3 linked regions of the Drosophila melanogaster genome follow. The protein of the gene in region 1 interacts with the protein of each later gene in a pairwise test. Each region holds a gene or a part of one and is shown on either strand. Other genes may lie near its edges. The genes, in order: NimB2, stops and Mlp84B.

Region 1 (3,757 bases):
AGGGATATACCCGAGGACTGAGGGAGTCCGCCGCCCTGGGATGCCAACCGATTTGTATTCCGGACTGCGGATACGGTCACTGCGTGCGGCCCAACGAATGCGAGTGCTTCCCCGGATTCCAAAAACGCAAGAACGGCATCACCTGCGAAGGCGATTGCTATATGTGAGTGTTAGAACTAGACGCCTCTCCTTTTACATTTAATAATTTAATAAATTTCTTTCAGGACCTGCGAGAATGGCTTCTGTGCAAACAAAACGACGTGCGTGTGTCAGAACGGATATCGATACGATAAGAATACGACGACCTGTCTGCCGGATTGCGGGGACAACTGCGATAATGGGGTGTGCATCTCGCCGGGCAACTGCCGCTGCTTCAAGGGCTACGTCCGGAATCGGGAGCGATGCGAGGCGGTCTGCGTGGGTGGATGTGGTTTTTACGGCAAATGCATCGCACCGAATGTGTGCGGATGCGCCATAGTCCCGGGTCCGGAACGCACCTACCAGCGTTGCGAGTACGGATTGTGCAACGCCATGGGAAGATGCCGCTGCCAGGTGGGCATGACGCGATTCATCGATCGCTGCATGTCGCCGGACACGGTCACCACATACGCCTCTATGAATCCCGTCAAGGTGAACGCATCGCTCATCCAGGAATTCAATCTTCTGCTGGGCAGGCACTTCAACTTGACCACACTCAGCGATATGTGGTGGTTGTGAGTTCGGAGCTCTCACTTTTCCAGCATCACTGAGCAGTCTCTAATAAATATTCATGCATTTCCCAAGACGTTGTGTTCTTATCAGGGGTGTCTGAAATATCTTGTGGCTTCATCTCTTGGGATTTCGCTTTTTTGAAGCAAGTCTAGCTTAAATTGTAAACGTACGTCGAAGATTTGGTACCCTCTCGAAAGTTGTTTCATTTGAATAGGTATTTATTATTTGGTATATCACTTATTTTCTGCATAGTCAACATACCCCACGAATACCGGGTACTGAACACATAATTATCTTCCTAGGAATATAGAACATTTCTATCTCCGTACACTTAAATGCCGCGCTTGACACAGACGACAATTTAGTAGCTCCGAGACACTGGCGAGCATTGCGCTCGCATTTTGATACGACCTCGCCTTCAGCTGAATCCGAGCGAAATGCACTTGACATCCACGCTGATTGGACTCCTTATCTGCGGTCTGGGGATCGAGCTGCCCACGCGCACTGCCGCACAATTCTGGTCGGTGGATCCTGTTACGCAGTGGCGAAAAGAGGCTCTGGCCGAGAGGGGATCCGGCATCTGTTACAGGACGCTCACGTAGGTAAACCATTCCGCACGCCTGACCGAATTTCAAGATCAATTCCCACTCCCAGCGTGGAAACCATCAATCCCAACTCCAGAAATCGTCAGTTCTCCTACTGCTGCGATGGTTATGTGAATAAGGGAACAAGCCAGAACCTGAAGTGCGAGCCCATTTGCTCGGAGGACTGCTCCAATGGATTGTGCCTGGCGCCCGAGGAGTGCGAGTGTGCTCCGGGTTACTATCGGAGTAACAAAAGGTGTCGTTTTGTCTTGGAATAACAAAAATAAATAATATCAATTACAATATTTTTTGAGTTGCTTACTTTATCATTATTTGATCAATACTTCTACTATTTGAAATATTATTAACCTGTTTTTTACGACCATTCATGATTACATAGAAACGTTAAATTTTTTTTTTGAAAAAACCTTCATAAGTTTTAAAGGTTCATCATTTTTATGTTCTGTGCCTTTAAATCTGATATTTCATCAAGAAATAATCTCTATACCTGAAGTCATCGTTGTACGCAAACTTTTCTTGGAATTACCCAAAAGCAATGAGTTTTGTTTACGACTCACAATTTATGGCAATGATCGATTTGCTTTGCCCGAAGCTACTGAGAGCAAACCTTCGCTCCGTTTGCCACATTGATGGGTACATTGGCGAGGTGCTGATTAGAAGGGGGACAAGAGGTTGCCGGAGGCGAATGGCGGCTCAGAGATCCGGAGCTTCGCATCGGGAGCCGATTAGTCGATGTGCAACTACAGTCGCCAGCGGACGTGGACGTGGGCGCATAATCAATTTCCATACGTACGAAATCCGTAATCAAGTGACATCACCATGAGGTCATCATCGTGCCAGCTGGTGACTCTGGGCGTTCTGCTGGCCATCTGTTCCCTGGGTCAGGGACAATTCAAGACGGCTGGCATCAAGACACGGCAGCCGCCATCGGGAAACCTGCAGCTTGCCGGCAATAGCAGTGAGTCGGGATGGAGGAGCTACAACCAGAGCAGCTACGGTTGGAGCACTCAAAACCAGAGCAACTACGCCTGGAACCAGCAGAACCATGTGGAACAGGGATCCGCTGGATTTGTGCGCGCCGAGGTCTTTCAACCGGTCACATTGCCGCCCCTTTATGGACACTACGTGCAGCCGGTGACTCCGCCCGCTCATCGTGTCCAGGTCCTGGATGAAACGGCCCTGTTCATCAACAAAACCAGATCTGCCATGGCCAGTGGTGTGTGCTACAAGGAAGTTCCGTAAGTGATGGGTTAATTTCGGACAAAAAATACTAACAATCGAGAGGAAAACACTTTTATAATTCCACTTAAAGCTATCGCCCAATTCGGAAGGCATTCGAAAACAAGGCAAGCCATAAAAATAGTGAACTAACGACCTCAACTTCCTCCGCTGGCCTGATAATTAAAATGCGCCTTGATTTCACGAGTATATGTGTGCCAAGCTAATAATGTGAATGAATTTAATATGCAACGAGCGGAAAGTCAGTAGATAAGCGAAAAGTTTTTAAATTTAGTTGAATTGACTAGTTTCATTTGCATTCTCTTGGACAATATGTAGTTTAAAACTTTAAAGGACAAAATTATTTTTCAATTTTGACACACATCTTTACTAAGGTATTATTTAGACATGTTGATTATCTGTTTTATTAGTTTCCCTAGGAAAAATATATGTCATTGCATTCATGATTTTAAGTTGTTTAAGTAAACCTAATGTTTTCCTTGTTTATATCCAGAACCGCGTCACTGCTCCGCAATTCGCGGGATCAGTTCGTTGGCAATGGCACCACTCCGGACATGAGTCGCATCCAAGTCTGCTGCGATGGCTATGAGCGAAATCCGCACATCTACCGCCGCTGTGAGCCGATCTGCGCGGATGACTGCCGGAATGGAATATGCACTGCTCCGAATACCTGTGTCTGCATACCCGGCCACGTTCGCACCGCCGAGGGCAAGTGCATCTCCACCTGTCCCCTGGGCTGCGGCAACGGAGTGTGCGACGAGCGGAATGAGTGCAAGTGCCGCGAGGGATACTCGCTTGAGCCGGAGACTCGTAAGTACTGCCAGCCGGAATGCAAGCCCGGCTGCTCCTTTGGACGCTGTGTGGCGCCCAACAAGTGCGCCTGCCTCGACGGATACCGCCTGGCCGCCGATGGATCCTGCGAACCAGTGTGCGACAGTTGCGAGAATGGCAAGTGCACGGCTCCAGGACACTGCAACTGCAACGCAGGCTACCTAAAGCTCCAAGGACGCTGCGAACCCATTTGCTCCATGTAAGTGTGGCCTTTAAAAAACAATGAAATCTGCTTGCGATGTATAGTTTAGATAATTTAATTATTTCCCTATTTCAGACCCTGCAAGAACGGACGCTGCATTGGACCGGACATCTGTGAGTGCGCTTCCGGTTTCGAGTGGGACCGGAAGTCGGCCGAGTGTCTGCCGAAG
Region 2 (3,757 bases), on another chromosome or scaffold:
GGACTTGGTCTGATGCCATAATGCACTCTGAATGATGTATATCTCGGGGGTCGTTTTTTTTTCTCAATCTGCACACCAATAAATTGCCATCGTAATTTCCACAGTGGGAGACCCCTTATTCAGCTATTAGATTGCATCGCCAGAAATTATGTAAATTCGGTTATTGTGCTCCATGTGCCCGCACAATCGAGTGCAGCATAAAACGGAAGCGAAATAAAAATTTCGCCAGGCTTGTGTGCATTTCCGCTTCCGCTTGGCTCGACCACAGTGCAACCACACATTGTTGCATTTATTCGGACTCATATATTTACGGCCAATACGCCGCTGATTGGATACGAATTTAATTCAATTAATTCGCTACCTTTGCGGCATCGGATAGCCTGCATATGGCCACAATTGCATTGCCCTTTTAATTAGCGCTCAGGTGAGCCTGTTCAGGTGAAAATATTGCCATGTTGTCCTGGGTAACCAGCACAAATATGCACCGTTTTAATGGACCTGAGTTAATTACACTGTGCCGAATGTCCTTCGACACTTATTTGCATATGCGATTAAGGCGAAGGACCCGAGGAATCCCTACCAGACATGATTATCCCAGTCATCATCTCTGGATCCCTTGGTGTGCGTTCTTAATTAATGTTTATGGCAGTGCTTAAATATTTACCCAGCGCTTAATTGTCAGCCCAAATATTAAACGTGCAAATACGGCGAATAATGGAATGAGTGGGCCTGAATAATGTATGGGAAAATTGATATGTCCCGCATAAACAAATATTAATTGGCAAAGGGTGATAGAAAAACATGTAAACAATGTGCACAATTGCTATTTAAAATATGAATTTATTTTGTAGCTGAGAAATTTACATGACAATTGGAGTCGTGTTTTAAAATACATTTGACGTGGCTAAAGCTCGAGAAAACACTCCTATTGTTTACAGATTTAAATCCGTGTATATGAATATTTGTTGCAATATTTATTTCAAAATGATCCCCTTGAAAATGTAATGGATTCATTGAAGGGGGATTAGTAAATCTCTAAAAAGATAGCTTAAAGCGGTTCGCTTTATGATAATATCGGTTTCACTCTGGAATGAAGTATCGAGTGACTTTGTATTAGTTTTCAGTTTTCCGTTGTAAAATCAAATTCATTAATGATTTAAACCGAAAAAAGCACTGAAACATTAAACAGCACACCATCAGTATTTATTTCGAAATAAATATATTTTTGTTGAATCAAGCATAATCCTTATAATGACAAACCAATTATTTTTCAGTTTAATATTGCAAAATCACAAAAACCTGCGTTTTTATGCGCCATTTGATTTTATGCTTATCGCCAAACATTACCCATTTAGCACAAAAATAATGTGAGAGCATACATATGTACTATATATTTTAAATTGAAAATTCCAATTTAGAATCTAATTTAGCTTTATGCTCATGAAACGCGTATTTAATACCTCCGCTACTCTCTGTACAAAGAGAGAGTGGAGAGAAAGCGGGAGAGTGAGCGCTTAGGTAAACAGCTGAGCGTTCTTAGAAATTGGACTTCGTTTGTTTAGTTTTCCAGCGGCAGCTGATGAGTGGGGTGGAAAATTGTGTGAGTGCGCTGCGTGCAGTGAATAAATGGTTCGGAAAAATGCCAGCAAATTTCAAAGTGCAATAGACTGTTTAGCAAAAACCAATCGAATTGAATCGAATCGAATCAGTTTCAATGGAGTCCTCGAGTTCCATTCGGTTTTTGAAGAGCTCATAGAAATATACTTGTCGGCTGGTAATCAAACACCTGTTTGCCAATTGCTTTGCTGGGAGCTTCACGGAAATAAAGAGGCCTAAAAAGTAATTGAACTGTATATCAGCTTTTGAATAAGCTTTACATACTATGTAATTATTTTCTTATATGATTGCAATGCTTAAAAATATTAAAATGAATATTCCGCATGCTCATTATGAGTTGTTTATGTTTATCAAAAGTTCTCCCAGCACATCATTGCCAGCTGCAAAAAATCGATAGCGCAAGAGAGTCACCCCCGCAAAAGAAATTCTCTCTTTTTTGTGTATTGCGACTCTTTGGCTTCAGCGGTGCGGGAGTTTTTTTGAAGCGGAATTTCAATTCTTTGGAGGGAATCATCAATTCAGCTCAATCGAAAATATTTGCCTACTTAAAGTGAATTAAATTTTGTTTGCAATATGCTTTCGCAGTTGCTACAGGCTTTCCAGCGGCTGGTAAGTCAATTAAAAAGCCAATTTGTGTGGGTTCGCTGCTGGTTGCCATTTCCACGGCATTTCTACGGTTTCCGCCGGGAAACTGAGTCACGGGCACGGCTGCGTCTGCGGGTGCGGGAACAACTGCGTCGGAATCCTGCCAATAGGGCCAGTCACCAGCGGAACCGGCGAACCCAGCGCCGCCATCTGGTCATGGACTACATCTTCGAGTGCTTCTTCGACGACACCTTCGAGCAGATCTCCCGCAACGGACTGCAGGACCGCCAGTCGCGGCGAGATGTCCTCGACCACCTGAGCTCCATCATCAAGGGCTGCAGCGGCGGCCAGAACTCGCAGACGGATGAGGTGGCCGCCATCGCGGTGACGGCGGCCATGAGGTACCACCGAATGGCCAAGGAGCAGAACGGCCAGGTGAGCTTTATGTACAAATCGAGTGTTGCCAATGTGGCATTTCTGTGTGCCAAACTTCAATAGTTAATATGAATAAATATTTACTTAAAAGAGTCCATACAAACTAGCACTGGGCTTTAGCAAAGCTCAACTTAATTAATAATGATTTGACAATTAGTTTCCGGTACTTAAAAAAACGAAATAAATAATTAGAACAAAAGCCAAGTCAGTCTATTTCGTTGTCGTATTAAATAAATGTTAATGTTTAAACCAAGCCTTATGAATGGAAACCAATGATTAATTAGCCAAATAACATTGCTTTGCTTTTGAGTCGAATAAAAGTGGAATTTAATAAAGCTTTCTAGAAAACGGTTAGAAAAGTACTAAAACTATGCATAAATATGTATATCCTGCTGCTGCGATCCAATTGACCTTTTAGAGTGTAAATAAATATGGAAAGTTGTTTCGGGCTTAATTTCCTTTGGCAGAGTCTGCTAAACTTAATTTTCTTCCATTTTAAATGCCATCTCTTCATATGGCAATTATTTATAATTTAAAAAGTAGCACTTCAGTTGGGATTCAGCCCCTTCACCACACCCTCCATTCCATGCGTATTCCCCAGGTCTGCCTCATGGGCAAGTATCACAACATCCTGTACATCGGACTGCGCACCTGCTGGGATTGGGGAGTCCGGGACTCGGAGGTGGTCGTCAAGCTGCTGGGTAAGTGGAGTCGGGCCAACTAAATAATTTAATTTAAATGCATATGTATGCGTATGTGTGCGTAAGCGTATGCGAGTGAGTGTGCGTGTGTGTGTGGCAAGACTTTCCTGTTTGCTTTTTGGGCGTGGCTGTGTGCTTTGCATACTTTAATAAATATCATCCCATCGCATCGGATTATTACGCCCATAAGCAGGCAGTTTTCACTTTAATCACGTGTTTCTGCTAATTGCGTTAAGAAAGTGTTGCTGATGTCGTTCTGTTGCTCTGTTGTTGCTGCATCGTAAAACTTGTAAAGTGCCTCAAAGTGTTGCAAGTTATTTGGGGCGTACGCATGTTGGCTGCCTCTAATTAAAAGGCTGCGTAAACTTTTGCGAGCAGGAAAAGTGCCTGGAATTAATGGCATGCCTCTGTCAGGGAAT
Region 3 (3,757 bases), on another chromosome or scaffold:
CTCCGCTCTGGAGGATAACAATAGGTGGGGAACGAGAAACGCAAAGAAAAGGTCTTTTACAATTTACATTTTTCAAAATTTGGTAGTTACTTAGTTTACGCCTGATTTTAAAGAAACAAATGGGACTGTGTTGCACATCTATGATTTGCAAAATTGTTAATTTATCGAACACCCGGTGTAGACAACTCTTTTATTTTGTTATTCTAAATAAATTGTAATAATTAGAACATAATGTATATTAAACAGTGCCCAATGTTACTGAGAAACCAGACTTTTTAAATATGTTTTTGTAATTTCATTGAAAAAGGCAACTTTTGGAATCCGTTTCGTTTATTAGAGAATATACTAATACTAAAATAACCCCGTATAAGACCTTTTTCTACTGAAACAATGTATAGAAAAAATCACACTAATATATTTTTCGGTTGTTTCTGTAGCTTAATATCCCGCTATGATATCAAAGATGTTCAAGTTGCACTGACGCCTCTAACAGATTTTGAGAAGGAAATCGAGAAGAGCTCCAAGAGGGTAAGTTGATTTTTTCTTTGTTTATCTTTTAGCATACTATTAATAGAATGATAAACAACTCAGTTATCGTTCCGAAATATTGAGTTAATATAAGCTTTTTTACTTTTAAGGAAACTTGTTTCGGATCTCTTGAGTGATTTTTGCGAAACATTCTCTTAAAGTGTTTTCTCTCTTTTTGGATACAATGTTGCTATATTAATGATGGTTCCCATTATCTTTTACACTTGTATACAACTTGTCATTTAGTTTTTCTCTGATCAAACCTAAAGAGTGGGACAGAGAGTACTACTATATTCGTTTCACTCGCCAAAAGTTTTGAACGCAGGCGCCTTGCCAATTTTTGTATCATACTTATAAGTGGAAATGCAATTGCAAATGCATGTTAAAAATGTTTTGAGAAATTCTGCCGAAGGTGCGCGTTAATTATACAAAAGGTGTTGCCCACCCGTTCTTGTCTTTAAGAAATTCCGTGTTTTTCAATGCTACCCCTTGAACTTCGGAATTTTCGATCGATCCATTTTTTAAAATGGTGTGTGTTTCGATCGAAATACTGTAATAAATCAAATATTAAATTAGTTTGTTATAAATTTGAGAAACTTACTACTACTACTTTGATTTCAAAACTAAAATAATCGGTAAAATCATACCATTAGAACTAATATCAAAATGAAATCATTCTTAGTAATGATATTAAGAGGTATTTTCTGGCCGAGTTGGCCCCCGCCATGTCTGGTTCTATTTTGCCGATCTGATTGATGCTCAATGATGTACCCATGCCCCATTAATTTCCTTTTGAACCAAAAATGCATGGCAAAATATCGAATTTTAATTAAATGCAAATGCGCATGTTAATTTATTGATGTTGAAGTGCCAATGTTCCGAAAGGCAGGCAGGCAGTGGCTTTGAACAAGACAGTTGAACCATGTTGTTGGTCCAATAAAATACCAACATCATCTTTTTCGCCTTGTCATGAGCACGATCACCTGGAATATTCTGCTATAAAATGACCGTATATACAATTTATGAAAGCACATTTTTCTTGTATACTAGCATATTGTATATGTGAGAGCAGATATTTTGTGATTTGTTGGGATTCTTGTTCGGATGGCTAATGTATTTATTGTTGGGGCTATATAGTCATCCCTATCATTTTCTCTGGCGACAAAGTTGCCTTCGTGCCGTGTGCAGACAAAGACTGAAAGCGCTTGACAAATTTTTCAGCGCGATCAGTCGAAAATCGTTGTTAATCGAAGCTAAACTAAAATTAAGGATATTTCTCTTGCGAACCTTTTTATTACGAACGAAAAGTAAATATCAGTTTTTGTCAATGGAAAACGAAAACCAAAACCAAAACCAATCACGCATAACCCAGTAAATTCCAATATTTTGTGTTGTGCTTGTCTAAAAAATATCGGTTCAAGCTCTGCTACAAACCAAACGCGAAGCGATGAAAATACAGTTTTGTCAAGCGATCGTTTAAATTTAGAACTTGTGCGTAATTTGGACCATAATTTGACCCACAAATGAGAGGAGGAATGTATGGCTCCACACAGGAAGCATTTTTCCCACACACTATTATTAATAGATTCCGTTTTTTCGAGTGTGAAAAAACTTTACGGAAACTGTCTCACTCAATAAAATGAGAACTATTTGCGAGGAGTTTTTTTTTCAATCGAGTTTTATTCAAGTACAAATCGATCATCTTTTCATCAGATCAAATCGAATAGTCACTATCCTTGAATAGAGAAAAATTAAAGATACAGTCCTTACTCGACGTAAAAAACACGTACATTTTGATGAGTTTTATAATCTTATTGCATGCAAAAAGTATTATATTTAGTCGGGAATATAAACAAACTCCCAGATGCCTGAGGTTTCCAATGATATGCAACTTTTCGATCATCTTTGATAATCTCCCACTGGGATAAATGTGCATATAATATACACAAAAGTTAGCAAACATCCAAGAATGAGATACGGTCAAGAAAAAACGAGTGAAGGATATGGAATAAAAAACTTTTTCGAAGAATCGAAAAAGTTTAAAAACCGCAGATGCATACCAATATGTTTCCATCCCACTCTCTGGCGTTATTTGATGAAAACTGAAATAAAACGAAGGAAAACTGCTCCGTGTTGCCGCATCTTAAGTTTCTCAACTCGGTGTGCTGAGCAGGAAAACTCAGTGGCAGCGGCGAAAAGTCGACCGCGTTGCCGTGCCGTGTGCACTCACAATTATATAGACTAGTTTGCTTTGAGCAATCTTCCAGTTCAGTACTCGGCGCTTCCGTGTGTGGTTTTAGTGCGTTGTAGGTTCCGTTCTATCTTGGCTATAATACACTCACACCCAACGGTTGGATATCGCCAGCTCTTAACCGATTTTTTTGCACGCAGCAAAAGACCATTGCAAAGCACCTGACTAATCCATCGCAACCGCTAGATAACCAGATTACCGGCCAGGGACGATGCTCATCTGATGGTGGTGCTTTAGCTCTGACTCAGTTTTAGAACACCCAGATATGTACATATATATATCTGCCACAGTTATTTTTTGTGTGTGCTTTTCCCAAATCTATCTACCTGTCTGCGTTATTTTTATACAACATTTTCTGTATAGATAGATACACATTTATTGCTCATGTTTTTCTCTGTGTTCTGTGATTTGAAAAATTCCTCCTTTATTTTTTGTTGTCATGAGAAAGATGTTATTTTCTGATCATTAACATAGGAATCTTCAATATGAATTACGTATACATACGTCCGGTTGGGTAATTTTCTGGCACGGGCGATGACGTCTCGACTGACAGATAAGAATCTTGATAGATGATCTACATAATGCAAATTGAGGAGAAATTCGCGACTGTCAAGTTGAATTTGTAATAGTTCATTGTAAACTTAAGATAAAACAAGCGTCTTAATCGTCCAAATAGGTTAACATGTAGATTAGCTTGAATTAACTAGTTGGGCTTAGAATAATTTGGAAACCATTTAACATACAAAAATGACAGATGCTTACCTCATCGCTTTCATCGCCACCAAAGCTTCCACTCTGCTGCATTTCCCAGCAGGACTTACGCCACGATCCCATCGACTCTATGTGTTCTTCTATTTTGCTATTTCAGATAATAAACTTAATAAGTAAAGTAATTGTACTCGCGTAGATCATTTTGATAGCGTTAAAAAAACCGAAACACAGACAGAATGCCTTCCTTCCAACCGATCGAGGCCCCCA

The links.
Region 2: the proteins of NimB2 (region 1) and stops interact in a two-hybrid assay, tested with the Drosophila melanogaster proteins (one large-scale study listed by BioGRID).
Region 3: the proteins of NimB2 (region 1) and Mlp84B interact in a two-hybrid assay, tested with the Drosophila melanogaster proteins (one large-scale study listed by BioGRID).

Annotation. Positions count from the first base shown.
Region 1 is NT_033779.5:13,965,303-13,969,059, reverse strand, and holds the start of NimB2 (nimrod B2), read left to right. Parts: upstream 1-2,041; 5' UTR 2,042-2,135; coding exon 2,136-2,554; intron 2,555-3,048; coding exon 3,049-3,585; intron 3,586-3,663; coding exon 3,664-3,757. Other genes in the region: NimB4 (nimrod B4), read left to right, coding at 1-163, 225-717; NimB3 (nimrod B3), read left to right, coding at 1,149-1,309, 1,366-1,573.
Region 2 is NT_033777.3:31,166,907-31,170,663, reverse strand, and holds the start of stops (slow termination of phototransduction), read left to right. Parts: upstream 1-2,059; 5' UTR 2,060-2,190; coding exon 2,191-2,637; intron 2,638-3,238; coding exon 3,239-3,338; intron 3,339-3,757.
Region 3 is NT_033777.3:7,115,729-7,119,485, reverse strand, and holds the start of Mlp84B (muscle LIM protein at 84B), read left to right. Parts: upstream 1-1,753; 5' UTR 1,754-1,835; intron 1,836-2,769; exon of another isoform or gene 2,770-2,834; intron 2,835-3,647; 5' UTR 3,648-3,726; coding exon 3,727-3,757. Other genes in the region: Alh (alhambra), read left to right, coding at 1-24, 438-528. UniProt on the Drosophila melanogaster protein: Plays a role in cell differentiation late in myogenesis. Transcription factor Mef2 is essential for expression.